4 linked regions of the Drosophila melanogaster genome follow. Changing the gene in region 1 together with any one later gene gives a genetic interaction. Each region holds a gene or a part of one and is shown on either strand. Other genes may lie near its edges. The genes, in order: eyg, Ser, Caf1-105 and pb.

Region 1 (9,660 bases):
CCCAATTCCGCTGCACTGCATCAGCTGCCGTGGGGCGATTACGCACGACGTCTGGCCGAAGAGCGGACCCCATGAGTACGGATCCGTGCCACCCAAATGGTCAAGTGGCCGGTGGACTATGGCGCGAACGGACGCGATCGGTAATCGAATTAGGTAAACAAACACTCCATAAGGCGGGCGTACGTTGATAATGTGTGCATAAGCAAATAGGAGACCGTATTGGGATTGGAATTGGGATTGGGATTGGGGCTGGAACTCTGCGCTGGACGGATGGATTGGATGGACTGCGATGGATGGGGAGATCTCGAGGAGCGGGTTGCGATTGCGGCGGCGATGACGGGCGAAAAAAAACTAAATGAAATTTCATTTAGGTGGTCGCCAACGGCTGCGGACCATCTGCTTGTGTGAATGCTTGATTGTTGAAGTGCCACTTGATGGGGCGAGGGCGCACGCTACTCGCGGGGATTACACTGGCCAAAATTGGGATCAAATGGTTACGAAATATGTATATACCATATATAACACTATTCCATAGAGACCATTGATTCAACTCTTTAAATATTGCTATAGATCTTGAGTAAACTAGTAAAAAAAAATCGTAAAAAATATTTTTAAAAATTTCAGACTTTAATTAAGAACTCTTACTGTCAAGTTAAGACAAAAAAATGTTGTAAGAAGATAATTCTGTTACTTTAAATTATCCCAGAAAACAATGGAATGAAAAATATCTCAGTGCTGAAAGGTTTCTTTGGTTGCTGAGCAATATGGGTCACCGGTTTACGCAATTTCTTACCGTGCAGCGATCGGTATCCAGATATTATTTACTTAGTAAATTATTCCTGTTCGATTGTTTGCGTTTGCTCTGGATCTCTGGCATGAGGGCACTCGAACGTCATCGTCAGCAGCGTTTCATTCATGATTCGCCTTTCACAAATCGAAGAAACATATATGCACGAGTGTTCGGTGCATTGTGCACTTTGCATTCGAACAGACAAATAAATACAAAGGCAGTTCTGATCAGCTTAGTGAGACATCTCATTATCGCCAGGTGATTCTGCTGAACCATATCGTTTCGCATCCAGATTTCTGCACTCGCTCCTCTTTCCACCCGATCCCATCCCATCCCAACTGATCTCATCCCATCTCATTCCATTGGGGAATCATTTCAGGTAATTGCTTTTTAACTCGACTCTCAGCTTTCAGCTTTCATCTTTCAGCTTCCAATTCGAATCCTGCATCGCCGGGAGCCACTCAATCCGTGGGCTTTGATGCAATTTGGCTTCTGTGCAGGCCACTCTGCCACTTGGTGTAGCCCGTTTCTGCCCCGTTCTGTTCTGAGAGTTGCGAGCTGCGAGCTGTGATCTGTGTGGCTCCCCGATCACGCCATGTGTAGTTTAGTTGCAGTTTCGATTCACATCGGATTGCCTTGCCCAGGCAGCACATCAATCATCCATCACGCACCAAAGGCCGGGAGACAACGACCCAAAACGGGCAGTGCAAACCTGAATGGCAAACGGCCCATGCCACGCATGCGATTTATACGTGTCCAAGGTTCACTCTGGATCGCAATGGATGCAATTTGGCCACTTCACTGCACATTTGACCGGATTAAAATTCCTTTCAAATGGCTATATGCTACTAAGCTCTTTTAAATTGCAGGCATTTTAGTTATTGTTATTTAGCGATCATTTTATGTTATCTTTCAATGCAATAAACGATTTAGTTTGTTTAAAAAGGACTTTCAGGCTTAAATCTTCTTTTAATAAGTTTATGTTTAAAAATCGAGTTTTAATTGCAATTGGTCAGTTTAAAAGCGGAATAGTAGTTATGAAGTCCACAAAAAGGAAGCAATTTAATGCTTTTCTGTTTTATTATAATGCTAATGTTTATATTTTGCTGAGGTATTATTTACCAATTATTTATATATATTTTTTTGTCTTTCTCCTGAGTAGAATCAAATAAAAAGTAAAACAAACATACCATACTGCCATTTTATTGATACAATATTACAGCTATTTTAATAATTTCGAAATAAAATATTTTATTATTATTATTTATTTTAGAAGTGTAAGCAAAAAGCCAAACTTCTTTTCAGTCTTTAGCCTTAATTGTTAGAGATTATACATATGCATGAACTTTTGTAAATGTAGCTCATTTGTACACAGATCGATATGATAATCAAGAGTTGGTATTTGAAAGTGCCTACTTATTGGGGCCATGGTCTCTGGCTTAAAGTAACGATAAATTGAATGCATTACTCAACAGTAAAGATTACGAACTAAATGTTCCTAAATGGTACAATTTAAGCTGTACGGTTAATTCAATCAATTAGAATATTACATTAGGCGAGAAATGCACCTAAAGGTTGACTTCAAACGTGCTATGGTATCCCAACTACATTTGTAGTTAAAATTAAAGGGTTCCCCAACTCCTCTTTCTCTTCTTATTCTGGTTCTTCTTCTTGTCACTTCCCCAAAGCGTTCGCTCTCTCTCACACTCACTGCTCTTCATTCGTCTGCTTCTTCTTCTTCTTCTTGCCACTGTTTATACTCAGCACTTTACCAACAACGAGTTTATAATTGTTTGATTTGTGTGCGCGCATAGTGTGCATGTGGTTGTCCCGCTCTCGCGCAGAAGAGCGAGAGAGCAAGAGTTTGCCTCAACGGGCGCCATTATGAAAGTACGGTACTCGTAAACCGGTTGGCGTTTCGAAAAGCACTCAAAAGCGGAGTGAAACTGTTCGAGTGGAGCGGAGTGACCCGGGTGACCAGGTGAAATTCAAGCGCTCATTGTGCTGAGAGCAGCTTTCGCGTGAACAACGTTTCAACGGAGCGCAGTGTTCGCAAGAAATTCGATAAAAACAAATTCTATAATAAAAATAAGAGCAAGAGATACGCAGGAGCGTTTTCTAACTGTTTCTGTCGGGATCGACTGTCGTGCATTTGTCACTGTGTGTGTATCTGTGTGCGTGTGTATGCGAGTGTGTGAGTGAGCAGCACGCTATGAATCCAATTGACCGCATTGCGTTTCCATTTCCGTTTCCGGTTGCATTCGCTATAATCGATACCTCTGCCTTGGATGTGCGACACTTGTGACTGTGATTGTGTTATACCCAAATAAAATTAATAAAATAAACAAATATAAAATAACAATAAATAATAAAGAGAATTGGAAAGAGCGATTCTTAGACATGTTGATTGAGCCGACTTTAAACCGTGACCTTGGCTCGCTTACTGTCGCTAATTCTGGCCTCTCGGCCGCGCACTGGAAAATGGAGCCCCATCCCCAACGCATCACATCGCTGGCCCCTCACGCTTCCAGTGGTAAGTGCCCCAAAGTGCCCATGTGAAGTCTTGCCGACGGCAAAGCCAGGCTTGGGGATTTTAAGAAAATATACACAAATCTTCAAAAAATAAATCCGAAACTGGGTCAAAGGTGTAATATGTCATTCGATAGCAAATCCGGAATGTTCGAATTTTAATTTAAACAAATTAGTTCTTTCGCGATAAAACCTAAAATCTATTATTGAAATTATGTATAACTAATAACTAAGCATCGTTTAAATTAGTGTGTTAAAACGGTGTTTCGGTTAAAGTATTAAATAAAGTATCAAACTGGGTCAAATGTGTTTATGTGTAATTCTTAACCAGATCCATTTAGTTTGAATATAGTTGGTGTTAACTTTTCGCTGTAAAACAAACAATTTTTTATTTAAATGGTATATGGTAGATAAATTATGTAAATTATCAAATTGATCATACAAAGGTCTATGTAAAACTAACTTTGAGTGCCTTTTTATTTTCTTAAACAGAAGATAAAATAAGTGTGATCCTTTATAATATTTCTAGTTTAAACAATGTGGGCCATTTATAAGAAAGCGATTAAAATTTGTCATGTTCGTACTTAGTATGTTCATAACAAATGTTTTATGTTATTCCAACTTAAATCTTCAGTTAAAACAAACACAAATCGTTACGCATGTCACATTACCAATTGCGTGGCTCATTTGACAGTCCCATTTCCTTGCTTTTCACCTTTAAATAGACCGAAATAAACAAAACTGGTTCTCATTTGATGGGCGGCACAATTGATTATGGGCCCATATACTTACATATATGTATATTCAGTTAGGCACGACTGGAGGTGCGCGTATTTTTTTAAAAATATTTACTTGACAAACAACAAAAGTGAAACGCGCATTTAAAACGCTAATTGACAATTTGAGCGACGAGTTGCCCAAGCCGAATGATATATGTAGGTTTTTTAAGCGAAGGCAAATATAATATTCTGTCGAATTAACGTAATACACAGTTGTTTTTCTACTTGTTTTTTGCTTTCTTTTCGTATCCAGCTGAGTACATATTTTAATTTTCGCCTTTTGTACTAAGAGATCATTGTCGTATCAATTAGCTTGATAAATCTGCTCGTGCCTGGAAGATTCGATTGCGTGTCGCCACCATTTTGGCCATTCGATCAGCTTAGACATTTGCTGGGGTAATAGAAACGCTAATATATTCGTAGGACCCATCAGTCATTTCGGTTCGGTCAACACAATTAACGCTTAATTTATCATAATTAACCATTGTGGCCGCGACAGCTAAAGCCACAATAAAATAACAATACCCAATTATCATTCAATTGCAGTAGCGGCGGCATCCGTGGCAGCAGCAGCAGCAGCAGCAGCGGCAGCGGCAGCAGCGGCGGCCGGAGCGGGATCGGGAGCGGTAGCCGGTGGCGGAGGGGCCACATCCACATCACCCACATCTGTGCAAATACCACCCGGCTTTGGCGGCGGCGGCTCCACTGGCGGCATTCCGCACGGTGCAGGTGGACCCACGGGGAGCACATTGAACACCCTGATGTCACAGCATCGCCTCCTGGAATTCTCACGTTTCGGTGGACTGCGTGGCTATGACATTGCCCAGCACATGCTAACCCAGCAGGGAGCTGTCTCCAAGTTGCTAGGTGAGTTGTGAGCCCTTGAAAGGGACGACCGCTCAGTTTCTCAGTTCCTTCCCTCATCAGATAACTAATGGGTACTTTGTTTTCGATTTGTTTGCTAATTTTTATGATAAACATGTTATTATCCTGCGAGTTGCCCCTACCATCCCCTGCGTGGCGTATCCCTCGTGTGCGCAGCCGTGTAATTTGGCCACTTAAAATTGCATAAACTCCTGACTGGCGGTGGCCAAAACGCGGCTGGCTCATTAATCAAAATGCGGCTTATTCACGAGCGGGTATTCCTTGGTGGTAGTGTTGGTTGGTGCGTGCTGCCGTGCACTGAAAGAAAAAAATGCTTAATTCCAAATAAGGATATGTGATCACATTTATTCCATGTTTAGAATTTTTTAAGTCTTTTAAACCCGTCATTACAGTAACTTTAAGTAGTTAAAATCACTCATTTTTAAGTTTTCCAATTCTTGAGCTGCTCTGGTTTCTACCAGTGTATTTGCCAAGGCTTGTATTGTTTTCCCATTCATATTTTCCATACATCACATGTTGATGAAACGAGCAGATAAAGATATTAGCAACCAGGGTTAATCCTTGCTGCCAGCCAAAAACAGATGGATTGCCAAAACCAGGCTGGCAAAGTCATAAATCCATTGTCTCATAATTTAACTGGAATTGTGCTCTGATTCTTGCAGGCTCGCTGCGACCACCGGGCTTAATTGGTGGCTCAAAGCCCAAGGTGGCCACGCCGACGGTCGTCTCCAAGATCGAACAGTACAAGCGCGAGAATCCAACGATCTTCGCCTGGGAGATACGAGAACGCCTGATTTCGGAGGGTGAGTGTTCCACATAATTGCAGCTAATCCGCGGACGCAGATTGAACGCTGATTGATCGGCGGTCGCTTTTAGCTTTTGATCTCGATCTTCGACTGCTCGGTAATTGCGTAATCCCGCCTTGCAGGTGTCTGCACTAATGCCACCGCTCCATCGGTGAGCAGCATCAATCGCATCCTGCGCAATCGAGCCGCCGAGCGGGTGGCCACCGAGTTTGCTCGCACCGCCGCCTATGGCCTGTACCCGCCACCCCCTCATCCGTACGGTAGCTTCACCTGGCATCCGGCCGGCAATGTGCCCGGCGGCCAGGGGGTACCACCACCGCCACCTCCATCCGCCCTGTGGTCCGTTGCCGCTCCCACGCTCGCCAATCTGCCTCCGAGTGCAGCGAGCGCTGTGCCCGTCTCCACTTGTGGCTCCCTCAGTTCGGCGCACTTGATGGCCGGCGGAGCAGGTGGCACACCAACCAATCGGGCCATCTCCCCTGGCTCTGGCAGCCATGATACCTTGGAATCAGCGGATGAGAACCGGCACATAGACTCCGATTATCTGGATGACGATGATGAGCCCAAGTTCAGGCGGAATCGGACCACCTTCAGTCCGGAGCAGTTGGAGGAGCTGGAGAAGGAGTTCGACAAGAGTCATTATCCTTGTGTGAGCACCAGGGAGCGGTTGTCCAGTCGCACCAGCTTGAGCGAGGCAAGAGTTCAGGTGAGTCAGGTGAAAACAAAGGCTTCACTCAAAACTTTCAAAAAGCAAGATTAAAAGTGGCTAGTAAAGTAGTTACATACCATTTGATTTAAATTAATGAGTAAATCAATACTTTTATATCAGAAATTAGAGTTACCTCTTTCAAAGCCAATTAACCAAAACCTCAAATAACTAATCTTTATTAAATATCATTTATTTCTACCCTTTCCAGGTGTGGTTCTCCAATCGCCGGGCTAAATGGCGTCGCCACCAACGCATGAATCTCCTGAAGCGTCAGCGCTCCAGTCCCGCCAATCCGCTGCACTCGCAGCAGTCGAACGATGCACCGGCCAGTTCGCCCACGCCCAGTAACCACAGCAGTGCCTCCACCTCCGCTCCAGTGGCTCCCGTGCCGCCACCTCAGCAGCCGTTGCCCCTGTGCGGTGACCACTCGCCACAGGGTCCGCCACCTTCGGTGCTGTTACACCCACTGCATGGTCCTCCGGGCGGCCACCATCACCATCATCCTCTGCACCTACCCACGCATCCAGCTGCCCTCCAGCTGCTCAGCCACTACCACCAGCAGCAGCAACAGCAACAACAGCAGCAGCATCAGCAGCAGCAGCAGCAACATCATCAACAACAACAGCAACTCTCACCCAGTGGATGCAATCCGGCGGCGAATCACCTCTCCATGGGCGGGGAGCGTAGTGCCTTCAGGAGTCTGGTGAGCTCGCCCTCGGCGGCTGCCTTCCTGGGATTGGCCAGGCAATATGCCGTGGCTGCATCATTAACGGTCGCCGAGGAGCAGCGCTCCAGATTGCACTACTCCGCAGGTGGTTTGGGGAGCGGTGGTGAGGGCACGGGACCCAATACCAACACCACTCAATCTGGCGGCTCAACCATGACGGTGGACAACTCGTCATCGGACTCGGATGAGGAGATCAACGTGCACGACGATTCCGATGGTGAAATTGAGTCGTCGGCGGCAACGGCGGCAAAGGTGGCTCGCCTGTCATCCTCCGATGCGCCGGCCACGTTGCAATTCCTAAAGCATGACCGCTAGATGGGCGACATGGGCGACAAGGGCCACCTGGTCTAGATGGGCGGCGGCAAAGTCTAATTGAAAACCTGAGTTGTGCGCGCCTCTGTGATTGACAGTGGCAACAAAAACAAAAGCAGCAAAAGCAACAGCAACTACTGATGCAATTGCAATTGCATTTGAAATTGCAACTGGTGGACTGAAATACGAGAAGCGACTACACACACAGTGGGCAAACAAATCGAAAAACCAAAGTTAAAATGCTGCTCACCTACTTGGCTGCGGTTCGGGGTCGCTAGAAAAAAGAAAAAAAAAACTAAATAAAAATAGAAAAAAGTAAACAGAAAAATGTAGCAGAAAGCAGCAGCAACAACATAATGGGCGGCTTAAGATTAGCTGAAATTGTAACTAATACCCGATACGAACACGCTTGTCCCACTTGAAATGCACATGCCCATTGTATACCCTATAGTTATGCATAATTATACTATAATACTTGTTCATTCGCCGGCTGCCGACTTACCTCATCACCATTTAAGGCTATAGCATATGCAATATCTAACTATATGTAACTTTAAACTTTAAAATAGTCCTAAGCCAAATCTATTTATGAATGCGTATTGTTTAAGGATTTGATTCTTGAGTTGGTTGCGTTTGAACTGATATTTAGTGCGTAGACTAAGTGTTTTTGGCTCAAATAAAAGAAAAAAACTAAAATGGTCAACCGCTGAGTGAGAAACCAATAAAAAGTGCAAGAAATAATGAAGAATCGTTTACTTTCTTTCGGCAATAAACAAACAGAAATATATGACCAGGAAATCGGTTTGTATAGACTCGCTTTGGTTTGACAACAAATACAATTTATACGTTCGATTTCACGCATAATTATCCATTCAAACACACTGGGCAACAAACAAACACACCAAACACGGCCGAAAAGCATAAATAAGCATTTAACAACACTCGAAAGCTTCTTAAAACGTTATTAAATATTAATACACCGAACGAAGACAGAACAAAAAGCCAAACGAAATCGAAATCAAAAAAAAAAAAAAAAAAAAAAAAAATCCAAATCCAAAATACGCGCATAGAAAACGCTTAAATTTCGAACGTAATGGCCAATATGTCCAAATCTGGCTGATAACATCGACATTTTAATTATAACCAAATGAAGCCGCGCGCACAAACACAGTGGGGACAGACTAAACGCGACGAGGAGATGAGAATGGATGGTATGGTTTGGTATCATATGGTATCGTATGGGGACCGATTAAAAATGCCGAACCAACTAAGCACATAAATCAATGTAAATTATGGTGTTAACAAAAGGCGAGCTTGCAGGCTTGGATTGGATCCGATCCGATCGGTTGGAATGGGATCGGTTTGGATCGTTGACTTTTGTAGGTTGGTTAACCGGGTGGATGCGCGTCTTTATTTCTGGCCTGGCCGAGATTTAAATGAGCTCCTCGCATCTGATAAGCGAAAGAGCGTGGAGCACCATTCGTGTCGATACTTACAGCTCCGAACGGAATCGGGATCGGGATTGGAAGTTGTGGACTAGGGGGTATTGGGGGATTTGAGAATTTTGGGCTCGGGAATGGTCATCGGGTGTCCACAAATTCAATTTGCTTGGGCTTTTATGAGCAAATGGCCCAGCCCCATCTCCATCGCCATACCACCAATCGACTTATTCTAATTTAGTGCGGAGCTCTGCTCGTGAGCATTCCTTTAATAAATTTAAATCACCTTCTATTGAAAATATTTTCACCTCGGGCCCATAAATTATACATTATACGATATTTATACAGTCTGCGCCACGTCTGTGCTATATATATACATATATACATACAATATATGTATATTCGGCTTTTATTTGCCTTTTGGGTTCGCGCTCATTCAGTGATTTCGTTTAGTGTACTTAACTTTGATTTGACGGCCTGGGGATTCCATCAACGTGATTTTCGGCTCCAAGGGATTCGCTGGAGGATGCCTTGGTTTGATGGACCAGGGCAAAGTGGCGCTCTCATGAGCGCCATATAATCGCGCAGTCAAACATTTTTACGATGCAGCATCTCAAGCTCGTATATCCAGCAACCTCGACGAGCTGATCAGTTGGCCACTTGATGGGCCACGAGGATCCTGCA
Region 2 (6,907 bases), on another chromosome or scaffold:
AGGGCGTCTCTGCATTTGCACTGGATGTGCCTGGGTATACCTGGTGCTGGTCTACTGTCTACTGGCGGTGACGTGAACGTGCAAACATGTTGCACATGAGAGAGGCTGCCGCTAAAGTACTTGTACTTGTCATATTGTTATGGATTTATGGCAAACACGTATAGCGCTATAAAAATGACATATGCACGTGTATGGGTTAAAGTATGGGCTCGATATGAGGACTCCTTGCCACAACCCTTCCCTTAACCCCTTCTTCCCTGTCATCGCAGTCGCAATCCGAATCGCATTCGCTGGGTAACAGTTGCACATGTTGGCGAAAGACATGAGCACGCGCAGCCATCTCGATTACTCGCTTGCGTCGGCGCAATCGAGACCAACCCTGCTCAATTTCCGATCTCTATATCTCTGCCATATCTTTTCAACCCCCCCCCCCTCTCCCCCTCCCATCGTCGCTAATTAATCGCTTTTGTTCGTGTGATAATGCGATGCGTTCGCAGCCTGTTTGCCTTACTGATTTTGCAATTGGATTTTGTTTTGCCAGCGCCTAGGGGTGGATTTCGGGTTAAATGAGGCGTACCTCTAGCATTTTACCCCTCTTCGGACGAACATGTGTGAGGTTCACAAGTGCCTTGATTTTGATTTCGGGTAAGGTGGTACAAATTGCGGGGTCAGGTCAGGTGGTCACATTGATGGATGGTTCGTCATGAATAATCTGTTCATTACACAACTGGAAAGTGGTAAGTTCGTTAAGCTGCACAATGCTGTGTTCTCAGCCCCTATAGAACCACATTACTTTCCTAAAAAGTAGAGCAATAATATCATTTTTATAAGATCTGTAGTTAAACTATACCAAGTTTAACTGTAAGCAGTATTAACATAAATAATACTTAAGGCGCAACGGATTCTAAAAGCCAATTTCATAATCTCGTTATCTTCATATTCTAATATTGAAAAGTTATATTATCCTAACTTAGCTTAAGATCTATAATTTTTAATGATGCTATTTCATTTAGCCAAGATAATACTATGGGCTGCAACCCTTAGTTTTACACAAGCTTCTTAGTGCAATAACCATTTAAATTAATAAGATCAGATTATTTTCCTTAAGTTCAGCGACCCCTCTTTTGTATAGAATTTGTAGTTTATACACCATTTAGCTAAACAGTGTGAAATACTATTAGCTAACACTCACAGATCTTTAAAGTAAATACCGCAATGGTTTTCGGGAAAAGTGCTGCCCCCTTTGAGCTCAGTTCCAATTCCCATTCTTTTTCCAATTTCTTTGGCTCGAGTATTCTCTGAAGTGTCCGTAACTTTACGCTAAAAATATTGCCCATAAATCTCCTGACCCGGCTGTGTGCCAATAAAAGCCTTCGTAAACAACTAACCTAAGGCAATGATTCTCCGGACGAAGGGCGGCCACTATGTGGCAACCACTAAACCACCAGAAACCACTAACCGCAAACAGCCACCACAACGGCAGCAGGAGGAGTGAAAAATTAAAAAAGAAAAACGAGGAGGCGGAAAAAACACTTGAAAAATCTGTCATAAAATGTTGAGTGGTGTAAAACCAACTGGTTGAAATTGCCAACATATTTGCCTGTTTGTTTAATGAACTCGCCCAACGAGGGTTTTTTTGGTTTGAGGGGGTGAACCTTTGTCAAGAGGGTGGGTTTAACATTTTGATTACTCAATATGTTTGATTTTATGGATTTATGCCACCGCTCTGGTCCACTTTTGCAGCTGTTACATGTGACAGTAAAACCAAAAAACACAAAAACACTTGGCCGGAAAACGAAAGCTAATCCCAAAAAAGAAATGCCATCAAACCCGAACAAGTGTCCAACAAGCCGCCAACACAGAGTGCCCCCAAATTATGAGAGACGCGCACAAAGACACCTGTAAGTCGTTGTCTGCTATTAGTTGAAATCAAAACGAAAACAATGTAAGCCACAGTGAGCAAAAATAATATCTCTGGGGAGCACCAGCTCGAAGTCTCTGGAGGCTGATGGCTGAAGGCTGTAGTCTGCTGGCCACCAACGCAAAGCTGGTCGTCGCCTTTTAGCCAATTTTGATATAACTGAAAGCGTCAATTATACGTGAAATTTATGATGCCGTGTGAAGAATAACACCAACTTGCAACATATTTGGACAACGAAGCCGTTGCCATTGCCGCTGGCAGTTGCCTTTGCCGTTGCCGTCTCGGTGGCCCGTACAATTGCCGCTCTGGGGTCTCTTGTCGCAGATATGTAAGCTGATAATGGGCATTGTAGTGCAGTTTTTCTTCCATTTCTTCTGTTTTTTTTTTCTTCTTTTTTTTTAAGCGAGAAAAGATGACAAAGGAGCTGGGAGACCGCTGCCCAGTACGCCCACCAAATAGAGGAGGATGGAGACCCAAATGGCCAGGGAGACGGCTAGAGAAGACATTTTGGGCACACACCAAGTCAATTTGTTTTATCTATTGTCGAACAAGAGTCATGTCACAACGGCACAATGAGATTTACTATGTGTTGTTGCAGTTGTTGAGGCAGCAGCAGTTGTTGCTGCTGCTGTTGTTGCTGTGGTGGGCAGACAATGGAAAATCAGCAACATGATTCGATATTTAGATATGCGCCTCAAGAAATATGAGCCGCTAACAACAACAGTAAGGTAGGCAGCAGCAACAACAAAGATGCTGCCGCCTGTCTTGTTGGCCGCATGTAATTGCCAAGTTTGTTGCTTAAGTCTTTTGTTTTGGCTGCACTGATAGGCCAGTTGCATTTAAATTTGATTTATACACTTTTGGCCAGCAGATAATTGGATGGAAGTCGCCGCTCTGTCTGTGTGGTTAATAATTGGCCGATGCTAGTATCTTTCGATTTGGTTCCCAGCCGTTAAAGATTGTGGGAGCGTTCCTTCATATTAGGTGTTAATTGCCAGTCCCTTGGAGCTACTAGATCTGGAGCACACACACACATACACACACAGCCCCAGAATGCACTTATTGGCATAATTAAGTTGGAATCGTAAAAAACGGCAGCCGAGAGCCTCGGGCGCGCATGCGTGCAGCAGCCGAAGCGGCAGCAACTCCATTAACTGCCGATTCTGATTCAGATTCCGGGCCCCGGGGCTATATACAGTCGTACGACCAATCAGCGGCTGGCTAAAGAGCACTGCACGAAGAGCAAACTGGTTTTCTTCAAAGAGAAGCACAGAGAGAATCGCTGCGAGTTAAGCTCTCGGGATCGACGGCAACTTGTGCCCAGAGGCAATCAGTCGTTAGTCGAAGCCTGAAGCGCACGCAGCACTCAGCGGAAGTCGTCGCCAGTTTATTTTGAAAGCGGTTTCGGTGGTTCAGACCGAGCCACAGTTCTCTTAAGACTGCAGATCACCACCACCACCACCACCACCAGCAGCAGCAGCGACAGCTCACCTCACCACCTTTACCACCACCAAAACCGCAGCTCTCTCGCGTGACTTGCTCCGCCCCGTGAATGGATGCTGCTCGAGGGCTGGAAATGCCGCAGGATTCGGTTAACGCGTTTAGTCGAGCGCCGTGCTTCGAGCGGTGATGAGCCCCTTTTCTGTCAACGGTAAAACCCCTCCTCGAATTGGATTATTGTGCACCCAAACTGAACGCCACCGACCATCATCCATATAACAATTGTGAAAGTGTTTAATGTGCCGCAATCGAATTAAATTGCTTGCTGATTACAACAAATGATGAAGAGCAATCAACTACAAATGCTCGGTGGAAGAAAAGCAAATCGAAAGATCGACAATCAGCCGACATTTTGCTATGTGTGTGTTTCCATAGTGTGTGATTAATTTCTGAGCCCAGATCGTGTGAGCTAAGGAAAACGGAAATACCTTTCAATTAAATACAATACATTAATATATCAAAATACAATGCCGTCAAAATTGTGTTTAATCAAAGGCGAAAAGTAAAAGTGCAAACAATGTGAATATGCGAAAACGAGTGCCCCATTCCGGGGGAATCGCTGGCCACAGTGTGCTCCATTGATAACGCACACAGGGACGCAAAACAGGGACACAAACACACGAAGCTACAACTACGAAGTGGAATTGAAACATGCCAAGTGAAAGGGAGAAAGAATGAAAACATCCGACTAGTTCATAATGCACGCAGATAATACAAATAATAATAATAATGGGCGCACATAGAGAAATTTCCACTAGAACTTAATAAGTGGGATTCCCAAACAACCTATTGAAAGTATTTGACTTTCTAAAAGCGATGCTTAACACGGATTTTTTTTTCTAAATTTAAAGAATTTTGAATTGAATAACAAATGTTTTATTAGAAAGTTAAAGAACTTTCCGTATAGATGAAGTAGTGTAGTTTTCTTCTGTGCACCGGGAGAAAAGAGAGATTGTGAAATCAGTTTGGTTCTGAATGGGTGGTACGAGCATGGGAAAGCCCCTGATCAAGAGAGCGCGGAAAATGCTCGATGCACTGCTCAATGATTTACCATATGCAACGAATAACGGATCTAGCACGGTCCAAAGCTTATTCAGATCGTTAAGTTCAAGACGGTGATCTGGTTGCACAATTATTTGATAAATCAGAGTATATCCAGAAGTTACTAGAAATAGAAATGGATACACGGTATACTAAAGTTTTGAGGCCGCTAGAAGTTCATTCATCGTTTTGCAAATTGCCAAGAGAGAAGAGTGAAAGTAGCGGTATTAGGGGGTATTAAGGGGGAGGTAGCTGCATCATCCACTTGCAAAAGCCACTTCCGGTCATGCCCTGCAGCAGCAGCAACATCCACATCAGCGGCAGCAGCAGCAGCAGCATGAGCAAGAGCGGCAGCATCTGGGTTTCGATTCAAAGTCAACGACTTCCGTTCCGTGCCAAAGCCGGGAGGAGGCCCCAAGCAAATTACTTAATTAAATGGACAATTAACACCCGAGCAGGAGGAACCGGGGCGGGCTGGGGGGCTAAAGGCCATGGGAGGATAGGATGGCCGGAATGGCAAAAGCAGCGGCAGGGTGGGAAGAATGAGTAATGTGAGCAAGAGTGAAAATATCTGTAAATTAATATGCGCACAAGATGCAAATTGTTTGTGGCCAAAGACACGGCTCCATAGTCGCAGCAGCAGCAACTGCAGAAGCAGCCACATCAGCAGCGGCAGTAACAGCGTTAAATTAACATAAATTGAATTGCATTTGCATTTGCTGCACGTTGCCGCTTTTTGCGGTCTGGCAAAAGTAAATGTTGCTGCGGTGGCTGGTGGCACTTGTTGCGGCTTGCTGCGGTTGCCGCTACTGCAACTGCAACTGCAGCAGCAGCAGCATCATCTGCGTGTCAATTAGCGTTGATGATGCACAGTGAAATAGATTTTGCGCAGCCCGTTTCAATTCCAATTCGTTCGACAATTGTTACAGCTAAAGATCTACAAAACATCAGCGCCTATCAAGTGGAAGTGTCAAGTGTGAACAAAACAAAAACGAGAGAAGCACATACTAAGGTCCATATAAATAATAAATAATAATTGTGTGTGATAACAACATTATCCAAACAAAACCAAACAAAACGAAGGCAAAGTGGAGAAAATGATACAGCATCCAGAGTACGGCCAGTTATTCAGCTATCCAGAGCAAGTGTAGTGTGGCAAAATAGAAACAAACAAAGGCACCAAAATCTGCATACATGGGCTAATTAAGGCTGCCCAGCGAATTTACATTTGTGTGGTGCCAATCCAGAGTGAATCCGAAACAAACTCCATCTAGATCGCCAACCAGCATCACGCTCGCAAACGCCCCCAGAATGTACAAAATGTTTAGGAAACATTTTCGGCGAAAACCAGCTACGTCGTCGTCGTTGGAGTCAACAATAGAATCAGCAGACAGCCTGGGAATGTCCAAGAAGACGGCGACAAAAAGGCAGCGTCCGAGGCATCGGGTACCCAAAATCGCGACCCTGCCATCGACGATCCGCGATTGTCGATCATTAAAGTCTGCCTGCAACTTAATTGCTTTAATTTTAATACTGTTAGTCCATAAGGTAAGCAAACCAACCAACATGCAAAAAACGATCGAATCCCCAAAGCAATAATCGCAAAAAGCCCCAGATCCAAATACATGCGGGTGTAGTGTCTCGTCAAAAAGGCCAAAAGAAAACAGACAAAGTTGATTCAACCCATGCGAATTGGCAATGGCTGAGGGCAAAGTTTTGATGGGGGACGTAAATAATGATGATTTTTGGGTTTATTTTTTTGAGTGATTTATCAACTCCGCATCCCGAAGAGCTGTCTTTAATGAGAGCTCTTACGCTGGAATTTTCTCAAAGCAGTAAATCAAGCATATGTCAATAAACAAGATTCGTAGAACGCGTTAAAAAAACAGAAATCATTTACAGTCTTAAGTTATTTAATAAGATTGAAAATGCTGAGATTAAAATAGAGGATATATTTTCCCTGTTCAATTAATGTATCCATTACGTTTTAAAATATCAACAAATCTACCAGCATTTTGATAACTGCACTTAGTCAAAATATTCCCCAAGTTTTAACCATTAAACTGGCATTTAAATAAAGTCATTCTCGATTTTTAGAAAAAGCCTCTGACTAAGAATTCTGGGCTTAAAACGATCGCATGGATGAGGACCCCTCGAAAAGTGATCCGCCAGATTAGTGGGCAGTTCTATCTACGAGAACCATCTCTACGAAATGGTTCCCACATGGCAACGGTAGTCGAGAATCGGAGGAGCTAGGTGGTTTTCGGGGTGTAGCCGTCATAAAGTGTTACACAAAGTGCCTAAACATGTATTGAGATGCCAGCGGAGATGCCCCGAGCGGCAATTAAAAAGGCAAAGAGTCGGAGAGCCAACGGCAGCCAACGGTTCAGAAATACATAAAAATTAATCGTTGGCCGGAAAGTTATAGGTAGTTTGAAGGAGCGG
Region 3 (6,948 bases), on another chromosome or scaffold:
TTATGGGTAAACACTTAACTACAATGCACACAAGCACAAAGCAAAGTTATTCAAGTCATTTTTGGGTTGAGTACGAGAGATCACTAGGCGCTAAAAGCTTTAATGATCTCGCCATACAGTAAATACTAGCATAACGAACTTGAAACATACAAAATCTAGTATGCGAATGCCAGACACGTTTTAAGGGATTATTAATTTATTACATGAGGAATAGTTTGATCAGTACGCAGCATATTTTATATAAGCTTATGTTGGCCATTTCAGTTGTTTTTCCTTACTTTCCTTACTGTCTTTATTTACTGTATTTACAAATTGTAATCAACCCAAAAGTAAACATTTAGTTTATTTTGTTTTCGTGACTAACAACAATTACACAAAATTAACAATACTTTGATTTACGTTGCTTGCCATAAATTTGCCCACAAACCGTCTCCCCACAATGCTAACCTATTCCCTTGGTAACCCTGTAGATATGACGAAACGGGTAATACAAAGGGCACCCCGGCGTTCCAGCCACCCACGCCCACTAGGCTCACTTGGGATCTTAAACCATGCCTGGCGCAGATCGAAGAGGCCACCATCGATGTGACGAAGCTTATCAACGAGGTCAATCTGCGCATCCTGGTGCACCAGGATTACGGCAAGGGCTTTATGAAGAAGTGCCGCATCTCACCAGATGCCTACATACAAATGGCCCTGCAGTTGGCCTACTACCGAGATGCCGGTCGCTTCTCGTTGACATATGAGGCTTCAATGACCCGTCTGTTCCGCGAAGGAAGAACTGAGACAGTGCGTCCGTGCACCATTGAGTCATCCGCCTGGGTCAAGGCCATGCAGAACCCAAATACAACCGTAAGATTTTACAATTTTATGTAATTAGATCAAAGGCTAATCCATATATCCATGCTGTACAGAACGATGAGCGTGTGAAGATGATGCAGGCTGCCTGCGATCGTCACCAGTTGGGCTACCAGGATGCCATGTGCGGTCGTGGCATCGACAGGCATCTGTTCTGCCTGTATGTGGTCTCCAAGTACCTGGAGGTGGATTCACCCTTCCTCAACGAGGTGCTCAGCGAACCCTGGCGCCTCTCTACTAGTCAGACTCCGCACGGCCAGACGCCCAAGATGGACCTGAAGAAGCATCCGAACTGCATCAGCGCTGGAGGCGGCTTTGGGCCCGTGGCCGATGATGGTTACGGTGTGTCGTACATTATTGCCGGAGAGAACCTGATATTCTTCCATATCTCAGCGAAGACTACGTGCCAGCAAACGGTAATGAGGAGCCCTGATTCATGGCATGGAGCACAGCTAATCGAATTGTTTTCTTTACAGGATGTGCACCGCTTCGCTCAGAACATATCGCAGGCTCTGTCAGACATTCGCAGCATGTTCGAGCAGCACATGAAGGACCATCCGAAGCCCGCCAAATCACTCACAAACGGCAAATCCACATAATCCCGTTTAGTCCATGTAGTCGAGATTCTTGTTAGCATTTGTTTTTACCCCCCTAGTTGGTCGTTTTAAACACATCTGATACATCCGTCTAGTTCGAAATGAAGTGCAAAAGTCGTCGTGAGAGTTATACATAAACAATGCAATTTTTTATAAACAATTGTGACTTGGCTGGTTTTAAGATTTAGTCTTTAGATACTTTTGCACAATATTTGATGTTTCTCAATCAATTAGTCTGTAATCGAAGAAATCGCGTAACCTTAAGTGCTATAAATATATTTCATTTTAAGCGTACGATTGGCCTTTGTCTCTATCTCTATCACGTCGCCAAAGGATTGGCATGTATAGTTACTCCATTGATCTTCTTGTCCACATGGGGACGATAGTTCTTGGGATTGACGGGCAGTTTCTCCAGTTCATCCAGGGCATCGAATCCATCGATCACACGGCCAAAGAGCGTGTACTTCAAGTCAAGATTTGGCTGGGCGGCATAGGTAATGAAGAACTGGCTGGCATTGGCGTTCGGTCCGTTGTTGGCCATGGAAACCATTCCTCGATCAGTGTGCTGAAGAATTAAGTGGTCAAGAATTAAAGGATTTCTTCTTGTATCTTGGGAATCTTTTAGACTGAAAAACGAACCCAACCACATGACATATTAAAATGTAAAATGATATGGATGTCAACATACATTTTGAGATTCATGTGCTGGTTACATTCTAAGATTAGATACAATATACCCTTTAAAGCCGGAATGCTGGGTATTAAAGCCAGCTGTCATGGCGCAACTGAATGAGGGTTTTTCTGGTAAAACCTAGGTAGCCGGCTCACCTTAATGGTCTCCTTGAATTCGTCGTCGAACTTCTGGCCCCAAATGGACTGTCCATTCTTTCCGGTGTTCGTAGGATCTCCAGTTTGGACAATAAATCCCTTGATGTTTCGGATGAAGACGCAGCCGCTGTAATAGTCGCTCGCACACAGGGCGAGGAAATTTTCGCAGGCCTTGGGGCAGGCATCGCAGAAGAGCTCTATTTTGAGGTCACCCACGTCGGTGTGCAGCGTTACAGACTGCAAACAACACAACAAAATCGGTTAAAACTGTAAGAAATCAGATATTCCAACTTTTGTTTACCATTTTAAAAGTGATTGTGCAGCCCTCGTTTCGATATGCAATCGGTCCATTAACGATAACAGAAATCGAAAACAGCACTATTTGGTATTCCCGTGACCGAAGGTCACACTTTTAGGCGCGAATTCTGCCGCATAAAGTGATTTTTCTCTTCGCACTTCAACTAATCAACAGCGGCACATTAAGTAAACAGGATGAAGTGCAAGATACCCGAGATTTCGTGGCACAACCGCGATCCTGTCCTGAGTGTGGATATACAGCAAAATGGCCTGGGGCTGCGTTCTCCGACGATATGCCGCCTAGCCTCTGGTGGTTCGGATGCCCATGTCCTCATTTGGTATGTTAACCGAAGTGATGACGCCGAGGGCGTGGATGTGGAGCTGGCCGCCGACCTGTCCCGGCATCAGCGTGCCGTCAACGCTGTCCGCTGGTCACCGAACGGAGAACTGCTGGCATCCGGCGATGACGAGAGTGTTGTCTTTATATGGAAACAGAAGGCCGACCACGAAGTTGTCAACATTGTGGACGCCGATGGCTGCAGTGAACAGGACAAGGAGGTCTGGTTGACTCTCAAGGTACTGCGCGGCCATCGCGAGGATATCTACGATCTCAGCTGGGCGCCGAACTCACAGTTTCTGGTCAGCGGATCCGTGGATAACACAGCGATGCTCTGGGATGTGCACAGTGGCAAATCACTGGCTATTCTAGATGACCACAAGGGCTATGTACAGGGCGTGGCATGGGATCCCTGCAATCAATACATCGCCACCATGAGCACCGATAGGTAAGCAGTACAGTCCAAAATGTTCGAACTTTAATCGAATGGAGTTAAATTTCTTTTAGACAAATGCGGATATTTGATGCCAATACCAAGCGAGTTCTGCACCGAGTCAGCAAATGTGTACTCCCAGTAAAAGAGGACCACGAGATGCACGGCAAGAGCATGCGATTGTACCAAGATGGAACCTTGCAGACCTTCTTTCGCCGCTTATGCTTCACACCCGATGGTAAGCTGCTGTTAACGCCGTCAGGAATTACCGACTACGATGGTGTTGTGAAACCCATAAACACCAGCTATGGGTTTAGTCGCCATGATTTGTCCAAACCCGCCTTTGTGCTGCCCTTTCCCAAGGAATATGCGGTGGCTGTTCGCTGCTCTCCGGTACTGTACCGTCTGCGACCGTACAATGCGGAGAAGAATCCTCCGATTATTTCGCTGCCGTACCGCATGATCTATGCTGTGGCCACAAAGAACGCTGTGTTTTTCTACGACACCCAGCAGCCGGTGCCGTTTGCCATTGTGTCCAACATTCACTATAGCAGGCTTACGGATTTGGCCTGGTCGAGCGACGGCACCGTCCTGATCGTGTCCAGCACCGATGGCTACTGCTCACTGATTACCTTCGAGCCAACCGAGCTGGGCGACTGCTATGAAGATATGGAAACAGTGCTGAGCGTTGTTCTAAAATCTTCAGAGAATGCAACGGTGTTGAAAAAGAAGAGGCAAAAGCTGCGCAAGGTATCGTTGGATGAACCACGGAAACCACTGCAGGAAAAATCGAAACCAAATACAATTAGAAGGGCGTCCGAAGCAGGTATCACAGAGGTAGGGGAACCCGAGTTGGATGCTGAAAACGATTCATCAACGCACAGTGTCAGTTCGAATAAAACGAACAGTCCCAAAACAAAAGCTAGCGAAGAGGAGAAACCCACTCCCATCGCCATCAGGCGTTCGCCCCGTAAAAATTCGACTGCACCCATGCCGATTGCTATACGCAGAGCTCCGCGTAAGCCCGAGGATAAGGGGAATAGCGAATCGAGCAAGCCCAAAGACGAAATGGAAGTTACTCACACAAAAACGACTCAAGTGCAGAAAACAGTGGCATCACCTGTCAAGCGCAAGGTGAGCACAGAGGCAGTGCCTCCAGCAGAGACATCACAGCCGGCACTTGCAGTGATTCCGGTGTTCGAGAAGGAGATCATCAGTTCTGATGATAAGTTCGAATCGCCTGAGAAGAAGTCCCGACCCGCAACACCAATTCAAGTGCGTCGCCAGCCACGAACTCCTGGCAGCTCCAGCCAATTTAATCTAACGCCGAAAAGCCAACCCGCCAAGCAAGCTACTCCCATTGCAGTGAGGAGAACTCCACGCGTACTCATCGAAATGCCGGTGAACTCGCCTGTGGTCCCAATGGAGGAGGCCATGGATGCCTGGCCCCTCGACGAGAGCATCACACCCCTGCCAGCGACAAAGAAGGATTCTCGAAAACCCTTGCCGGAGACTGTAAAGACCGAAACGAAACCAGCGGTAATAGAGGCCAGCGAGGCCACCTGCGAGCGAACTGAGGACATTCGTCTGGTCTACGAGGATACGCAAGAGGAAACGCCAAAAAATCCGACTGAATCGGGGCCATCCACGCCGAATAACAAGACGCCACGTCGCGTGTCCTTGCGAACCATATCCACGCCCAAATCAAAAAAGAAACTTTTAGAGTAGACAATGCAATAGATTAGACTTAACAGATTTATGTTCATAAGATTAAGATTTTTGGGATCTTTGGGGATACCCCATACAAAATTGTAAAAAATAGCCAAAATTCTTCCTAATATATTCCACAATAAAACGCAACACAAGGTTTAGAGGTAATTGTATTGCTTTGGCTTCGGGATCTTTAAAACGAAAATTGCAGTCAAAATGCAGTAGTAATTTGCAGTTTGTACAGTTTCAGTAGTTCCTATATCAACATACACGATTCTTCTACCTGTGACAAAAGTCATCTGATAAGTTATGTGACTGTACTGGTCAACTGTACCACGAAATCCTCAAATTAAAAATGCTTCAAGAGGGTTGTTCTACCTGGTCCCAAGTTAAGTTTCCATGAATTTGCACGGGGACGTATTTTTTGGAAGGACTTTGTGAAAAGACATTTATTACCAGACAGCTAAATATTTTCAAGCAAAATTGCGACGAAAACAGATTTTTTACTTTTCCGTGACTAATAAGTGGCACCAAATTTTTTAATTTTCCCCTTTACTTTTTCACCACTTTTCCTCCTGATTCTTAAAATTGTTTGAAAGTCGTGCCATGCAATCTGTCCTAGCGCGCTTCGTCACTACGTGGACTGCCGTCGCCAGTGATGTATTTTCGGACCCAGTAGATGGGTCTATCTTTTCATTCAGAAACAACAAACTTGCTTGGTTTTATTTATATTTATTTAAATTGTAGATGATCTCTAACGTTTTGAGTTTCTTTTACATACAAACATTTTGGTTTACTTCAGTTTTTTATATCATTATTTTTATGTTTTATATATTATTTTAAATTTTTAATTCAACGATTCAAATTCATTCATCATGTTCGAGCTTAGTTAGCTTCCGTGGCTCGCCTCAAACTCATTTTAAAAATTTTCCATGGGCCATTAGCTACACTTCATCCATGTGGTCATTAGAGAGAGGAAAGGAGCTCAAGAATTGAGGAGAATTATATTTCCACATACGTTAATATAGGTAAGTATATAAATAGTTAAACAAATCTGATCTGTTGCATGGGACAACCAAAGCATTTATAATTAGGCTACAAATTAGATTAGATACAATGTCTAAACTTTGTCTAACCTATACTCTTGGTTCCACTGGCCATCTCGTCTTTCCTCCAGCTCCTCTTAAAATCCCAAAGTTTGGTATTCGCCACTCACAAAAAATCGTGTGTCTGAATGTCCTTGGACATTTGATTCGAAGTAATTCACATTACCGTTGTTATAGCTCTTTATGGATTTCACTTATAAATGTTTTAACTGCTATTAAAGTAATTTTAGTAGTGGTGCGACTTGCGATTTTATGAGTTATGTGGGTGTGTGTGGAGCAAAGAGGTGTATGAGCTTTAGAAAAATATGAATTATGTTTGATTCCATTTCCGTTCCATTCTATTCCATTTAGTATTGAAAATATGAAAAAGTTTATTCGATATAATGCGGTTAACACTATGCTGTACTATATGATCGAATGTTGCTATTACTTGAATGCTGCTTTCATTAGTTATTTAGTTCTGCGATCTCTGCTGATTCGAAAGTTGAGCGACATCGAGGAGGTAAATTATAGTCGCTACCGTATGAGTATTCGATTAATAATTATTTACGAGAAAAATATAGTACATATGTATGTATGTTTGTAGCAATTTGTTGTTCTCCCTTTACTAAATATATTTATTTAAATTTATATATCTGTATATATAGACCGACCTTGTTTACTTTTGTCTCAAAGGTAAATGAATAACTTTCTTGTTTGTGGCTTAATTAAATTGTCAATAAATATATCGATTTGGTATTTATTTATAGTTACATACAATTATTAAACTCTCGTGTTCTTGAT
Region 4 (6,670 bases), on another chromosome or scaffold:
TGTGACGCTACTTAGAAGTACGTCGGTTTCTCTGGAGCCTGGAACTCACCTTGATTCGGAGCCAGGCTCAAAAGGACGCGACATCTACCAGCCCAGACCAGCCGTCTGGGAATTTGAAAGTGTCGCAGGCGGGACAGGTAGGAACCAATCCGATCCGTCACGAAGGGCTTCTGGGGTATATAAGCAAATAAGGAGAATCTAAAGGTATCTAGTTAAAAAACATCGGCCACAGCGGTCAGAAGCCAACAAATCGCGCTCTTCAAGAAAAATGTTTGCCATTCAAAGCGAAAACTATTTTGTGGACAATTACTCAGTCAGTGATTTAATGGTGGGATTTAAAAAATTACTGCTTATTTAAATAAAAACTAAGATTTAATTGATCTATATATTTATAGATGTATCCTTGCGTCGAGTTAAACGTAGAAGCCGCTCCCACGGCAACAACAAGGTCTTCGGAGAAATCAAAGAGATCTCGCACGGCATTCAGCAGTCTTCAGCTAATCGAACTAGAAAGGGAGTTCCATCTCAACAAATATTTAGCCCGAACCAGGCGAATCGAGATATCACAGCGTTTGGCACTCACAGAGAGACAGGTTAAGATCTGGTTCCAAAATCGTCGCATGAAACTCAAGAAGTCGACCAATAGGAAGGGTGCCATTGGAGCGCTGACCACATCTATTCCACTTTCTTCCCAGTCGAGCGAAGATCTTCAAAAGGACGACCAGATCGTAGAGCGTCTCCTTCGATATGCCAACACAAATGTGGAAACAGCTCCACTCCGGCAGGTTGATCACGGTGTCCTGGAGGAGGGTCAAATTACACCACCCTATCAGAGCTACGATTACCTCCATGAATTTTCTCCTGAGCCCATGGCTCTTCCCCAACTGCCCTTCAATGAATTCGATGCTAACTGGGCGAGTTCATGGCTGGGCCTTGAGCCAACGATTCCTATCGCAGAAAATGTAATTGAACACAATACACAGGATCAGCCAATGATACAGAATTTCTGCTGGGACTCGAATAGCTCTTCTGCTTCATCGTCGGATATTTTGGATGTTGACTATGACTTTATTCAAAATTTGTTGAACTTTTAAATATATCTTTGACTATATGTTTAGGCAACTGTACATACATACATATATAATCATTGTATTATACGAGCAATATCTTTCTGTGACTACATTATTATTACTTATTTTGGATGAAATAAAATATGTTTTATAATTAATGTGCGCATTTATTTGTTCAAACAAAAAATGCTGGTTGTGCAGCATTTGGGGATACATTTTGCGGACTCGATTTTCAAAAATTTCACCACCAGACAAATCAAATATTTTTAGACAAAATTCCATTTTAGTGGGCGATACAGTTGAGAAACTAAATAAGCTTGACTTGTTAAAACATTTATTTATATGATATTTATAATGAATGGCCTTGGCTTTTTATTTTACTTAATGCTTCCTCAAAGTTTCTGTATTTTTCACACATATATCTTTTTCACAATTTTAAACAATCTCATGGTGCGCATCGTCATTACGTAGACTGCCGATCACATAGCTCCCTGCTGTCAGACAACTTGTTCGTCAGAGCGTCCAAGTACGAACACCACCCCCAGCTGCAGTGCAAAATCGTGGCAATATTTTTACACCTGTAGTGACACCCGTGTGCATTAAAATCCGCACATAATTACAAACTCTGCGCGGACTGGATTGGAGAACGTTAGCAAAAAGAGGGCGAAAAAGCGGCCAAAAGGCAAAAAGCAATGCCACCAAGATTGACAGGAGAAGAGGCGCCCAAAACAAAAAGAGCGATGAGCGAAGCAAAATGTCAAAAATACCCATAGCCGAAAGCCAAAAAAGCCGGAGAGCGAGAAACTCGCTACTGTGGCTTTTTCTTTTCATTTTTTAGCAGATGCGAAATGTGTAAATAAGAAAAACCAAATAAATTCCGTCACAAGCAACACGTTCGCGTTGGAAGTGGAAAAAAGTGAATGAGGCAAGAAAACGCCGCGGAAATGATGGCCCAAGATACAGGGGTTCCCGAGCTACACGACCGCAAAGATACAAAACAAACTGCCGAGCCGGCCAATCAGAGGGCCGGAGACTTGTGCGCCGGTGTGTGTGAACTCCACCCCCTGGTCTCTGCGCGTAATGGCTATAGTAACCAGTTTCCAGATGGCACCGCGCATGTGCCGACCAGGAAAAAGCGTGATGGATGCGGTGGCTGTCGCTTAGGCCACTCCTTGATACTGGGTCCCAAAATCCCAGTTCAGTGCGTTCGGTGCTATTGGATGGAATGGTTGTTGGCTGCTATCTAGCTCTCGGGAACCGCACGAAGCTCCCCAAAAGCCCTCTGTCTCGCTCTCGCTACGAATCGGTTCGGTATCTAAAAAATAATATTTATTAAAATGACAGCTACAAAAATAGTTCAAAAATTTTGAAAACTAAAAAGTGATATTATTAAAACGAGTTGAAACCAAAAGTTTTACTATACGGTTGAGAAGCACTTTAGGAACCCCTGGAAACCCGGTTCTGCGCACCTCTTGAAGGCCAGAGAGGGACAGCTAGTGCCCACATGTGTATGAGTGCGAGTGGAGAAAACTATCTCAGACGAATTGCAACGACTGAGTGTGTGTCTGTGTGTGGCCATTGCAGCGATCGCAGCGACTCTACAAAACTCTACAAAATCAACACATTCCGCATACGCACCGTTGTACAGCGCGTACTTGCACTATTGTCGTTATCGCCGTTGTTTCGTCGGTTGTGTTGGCCTTTCGCGTCGCCATGGCTGCCAAAAGGTGTGTGTCTATGTCAACCTGAAAGCGAAAAACCAACTCCAAACACCACTTGACGGTTGAGCAAACACAACGGTGGCCATATTTACATTCGGATCTGGGTTCCCTCGCTCTCGTCGCGGTTGTCGCCTCTTTTCGCGGCCCACAGATAAGCCCTGACACACTGAAGTTTTACGCAAAACCCGCATCGCAAAAGTTGTGCCGGTTGAAACTAAAAAAAAAAAACAAACAAAAAGTTAAGCCAGTTACTATGAGCGAGTGCAGACAATAGTGAAAACGGTGACCCAAGTGATACCGGTGAAATTTCCACAAAGAACGCATATGTCAACGTAAGAGGAGAAATATGGAATACTGTGGTCTGTAAATGATCAACTTAATATGGTACGAAATTATCTTACACATATTTCTTACCTACATTTAAAAATAAGTGTATCCTTTTAAAGCACGAGAAAATCAAAGCGTGTCGTTATTTCGTTTTTGATACAACATGTTAGTCTAAAATACGAGCCTTTTAAGTCGGCAAAATGTTTACTGCAAGAAATATTTCAAATCTTTAATTGGCGGAATCGGAAAATATATTCGAATTTTCTTATTCATTTATACTTCCTAGGAAATTAGCTATGCGGCATTTCTTAGATGAGGATATGTAACAGCTTTATAACTTTTTCTGTTTAAAATATGTTAATTTATTTACTGACTATTAATCCTTAAAAAAATAATGTAAAATAATGTATGCGAACCAAGCCAATTTAGGTAACATTGTAGGACAGGTTGTATGTATTGTACATACATACAATACATATTGTCAAATCTCAATCGAAATTAGGTGGCCATAAATTTAAAGTGAAGGCCTAACAATTTCTATAAGAGCAATAGTAAAAATGCAGACTACAAATGAATTTCTGGCACAGAAAACTGAGAGACTAATGAAATATAAATTGGAATATGTAATTTAAAAATAGTCAAGTTTTTGACAGTTGCAATGTGAAAAATTGGATCGGTAATAATAAAATAAACATTGATTAGCATAGTAAAGTGACGATGTTTTTGTTTCTTAAAATGTTAATGAAGATAATGACATATCTTAATGAAGTATATACGTACATTATATTGAAATTATATATATTCAAAATATATAAATAAAAATTCAAAAATTATAAATATAATAATAAAATAAACATTGAATAGCATAGTAAAGTGACGATGTCTTTGTTTCTTAAAAGGTTAATGAAGATAATGATAACATATCTTAATGAAGTATATACATACATTATTCAATTTCACATTCGATAAGAACAGTGAAACCTCTAACTTCCTGGGAACTGAATCGTGATAACATTATTATGAGATTACAAAAATGGCTTTCCTTTCCAGGTTCCCAAGCTGAGGAACATCTAATACGCTCAGGAATTGAAATAGAAAGAATCTAAAAAAAATTATACCCAAGCTATGCAAGAAGTCTGCAGCTCCTTGGACACGACCTCAATGGGCACCCAAATCAAATCGGAATCTCCACTCAACCCGCTGCAGGTGCAAACTGGACAGACGTCCCTGCCAGTGGGTGGTTGCGGTGGTGCGGGCGTCGTGGGTGGTGTGGGTGGCGTGGGAGTGAGTGTTGGTCAGCCTGGTATCGGACAGCAGGGGGTGCCACCTGTGCCGTCGGTGCTCATGGTCAACAAGATGACCCCGAACTGTGATAAACGGAGCGCGGACACGGCCTATTGGATGACAGCATCCGAGGGCGGGTTCATCAATTCGCAGCCGTCGATGGCTGAATTCCTCAACCACTTGAGTCCGGAGAGTCCCAAAATCGGAACACCTGTTGGATCCGGCGCCATTGGCGGAGTAGGCGTCAACGTTAATGTCAATGTCGGCGTCGGAGTCGGATATCCGGTTGGCGTTGTCCCTCAAACGCCGGATGGAATGGACTCGGTGCCGGAGTATCCCTGGATGAAGGAGAAGAAGACATCCCGCAAGAGCAGCAACAACAACAATCAGGGTAAGTCCACATGCACATTACACTGGGGGAAGCATAAGGTTTTTAATTTAGCGATCGACCATGTCAATTTGAACACCATTCTCTGAAGAATAGGCGATAATCTCATCAGTCCATCTCAAACTATTGAATCAATCAAATAAAAAGTAAGATATTTTTATAGACACTTTTCCATATCAGTTTAGACCGGAATCAATTGGGTTCTCTTGTCCCGGCCATTTTTTCTTGCCGTGTACTGGCTGGTGAAATGCGAAACTCTCATTAATCACGAGCTCACAGAAACCTAAAGACTCCAATAGCGCCAATTATGCCACTACGAAGTCCCTCTGGCACCTGGTTTCGAAGTGATGAAGAAAGAGCCAGTGCTTTCGCTGACCATTTACAAAATGTATTCCGACCAAATCCCTCTACCAACACATTTATTCTCCCTCCTTTAATAGCAGCCAATCTAGATCCTCAAGAACCCTTTGAATTCCGACCATGTGAACTAGCAAAGGTTATCAAAGAGCAACTGAACCCAAGAAAATCGCCTGGCTACGACCTAATAACTCCAAGAATGCTCATTGAACTCCCAAAGTGTGCTATTCTTCACATCTGCCTGTTGTTCAACGCAATCGCCAAGCTTGGATACTTCCCTCAAAAATGGAAAAAGTCGACCATAGTAATGATTCCAAAGCCAGGAAAAGATAAAACGCAGCCATCATCATATAGACCGATAAGCTTACTAACATGTCTTTCAAAGCTGTTTGAAAAAATGCTACTCCTTCGGATTAGCCCTCATCTTAGAATAAACAACACACTTCCAACACATCAATTTGGCTTTAGAGAAAAACATGGAACCATCGAACAGGTCAACCGAATCACGTCAGAAATTCGTACTGCTTTTGAACATCGAGAATACTGCACAGCCATTTTTCTAGACGTCGCGCAGGCATTTGACAGAGTGTGGCTCGATGGACTTTTGTTTAAAATAATCAAGCTGTTGCCCCAAAACACACATAAGCTACTGAAGTCATACCTATATAACAGAGTGTTTGCAATAAGATGCGATACAAGCACTTCACGCGATTGCGCAATCGAAGCTGGAGTGCCGCAAGGCAGTGTACTGGGTCCAATCTTATACACCCTGTATACGGCGGATTTCCCCATAGACTACAATCTAACAACCTCCACGTTCGCTGATGATACCGCGATACTCAGTCGCTCGAAATGCCCAATAAAAGCCACGGCACTCCTATCCCGACACTTAACATCTGTAGAACGATGGCTTGCCGACTGGAGAATTTCAATAAATGTTCAAAAATGCAAGCAGGTTACCTTTACCTTAAACAAACAAACATGCCCACCACTGGTCTTGAATAACATATGCATTCCACAAGCCGACGAGGTAACATATCTGGGAGTTCATCTGGACAGGCGGCTCACTTGGCGCAAACATATAGAAGCCAAATCGAAACATCTTAAACTTAAAGCAAGGAACCTCCACTGGCTCATAAATGCTCGCTCTCCACTTAGTCTGGAGTTCAAAGCTCTTCTATACAACTCCGTCTTAAAACCTATCTGGACTTATGGCTCCGAGCTGTGGGGCAACGCATCCAGAAGTAACATAGACATTATTCAGCGAGCACAGTCAAGAATTCTGAGAATTATCACTGGAGCGCCGTGGTACCTTCGGAACGAAAACATACACAGAGACCTAAAAATCAAATTAGTAATCGAAGTAATAGCTGAGAAAAAAGCGAAGTATAACGAAAAGCTGACCACCCATACAAATCCCCTCGCAAGAAAACTAATCCGAGTATGCAGTCAAAGCCGGCTGCACCGCAACGACCTCCCAGCCCAGCAATAAACTTATTAGGGCATTAATGAAAAAAAAAAAC

Evidence for each region.
Region 2: of eyg (region 1) and Ser, changing one suppresses a phenotype caused by changing the other (phenotypic suppression), as found in Drosophila melanogaster (one study listed by BioGRID).
Region 3: of eyg (region 1) and Caf1-105, changing one enhances a phenotype caused by changing the other (phenotypic enhancement), as found in Drosophila melanogaster (one study listed by BioGRID).
Region 4: of eyg (region 1) and pb, changing one enhances a phenotype caused by changing the other (phenotypic enhancement), as found in Drosophila melanogaster (one study listed by BioGRID).

Annotation. Positions count from the first base shown.
Region 1 is NT_037436.4:12,461,149-12,470,808, reverse strand, and holds eyg (eyegone), read left to right. Parts: upstream 1-2,787; 5' UTR 2,788-3,190; coding exon 3,191-3,323; intron 3,324-4,644; coding exon 4,645-4,965; intron 4,966-5,645; coding exon 5,646-5,786; intron 5,787-5,911; coding exon 5,912-6,495; intron 6,496-6,706; coding exon 6,707-7,540; 3' UTR 7,541-8,272; downstream 8,273-9,660. Other genes in the region: CG32102 (uncharacterized protein), read left to right, coding at 1,386-1,652.
Region 2 is NT_033777.3:27,190,609-27,197,515, reverse strand, and holds the start of Ser (serrate), read left to right. Parts: upstream 1-3,248; 5' UTR 3,249-3,572; intron 3,573-5,391; 5' UTR 5,392-5,773; coding exon 5,774-6,010; intron 6,011-6,907.
Region 3 is NT_033778.4:10,464,272-10,471,219, reverse strand, and holds Caf1-105 (chromatin assembly factor 1, p105 subunit), read left to right. Parts: upstream 1-2,679; 5' UTR 2,680-2,774; coding exon 2,775-3,364; intron 3,365-3,423; coding exon 3,424-5,077; 3' UTR 5,078-5,219; downstream 5,220-6,948. Other genes in the region: whd (withered), read left to right, coding at 471-852, 915-1,274, 1,335-1,457; CG11777 (uncharacterized protein), read right to left, coding at 1,774-2,019, 2,283-2,519, 2,584-2,586.
Region 4 is NT_033777.3:6,737,673-6,744,342, reverse strand, and holds the start of pb (proboscipedia), read left to right. Parts: upstream 1-2,279; 5' UTR 2,280-3,175; intron 3,176-4,168; 5' UTR 4,169-4,243; coding exon 4,244-4,793; intron 4,794-6,670. Other genes in the region: zen2 (zerknullt-related), read left to right, coding at 269-328, 396-1,094. UniProt on the Drosophila melanogaster protein: Sequence-specific transcription factor which is part of a developmental regulatory system that provides cells with specific positional identities on the anterior-posterior axis. Controls development of mouthparts, and labial and maxillary palps.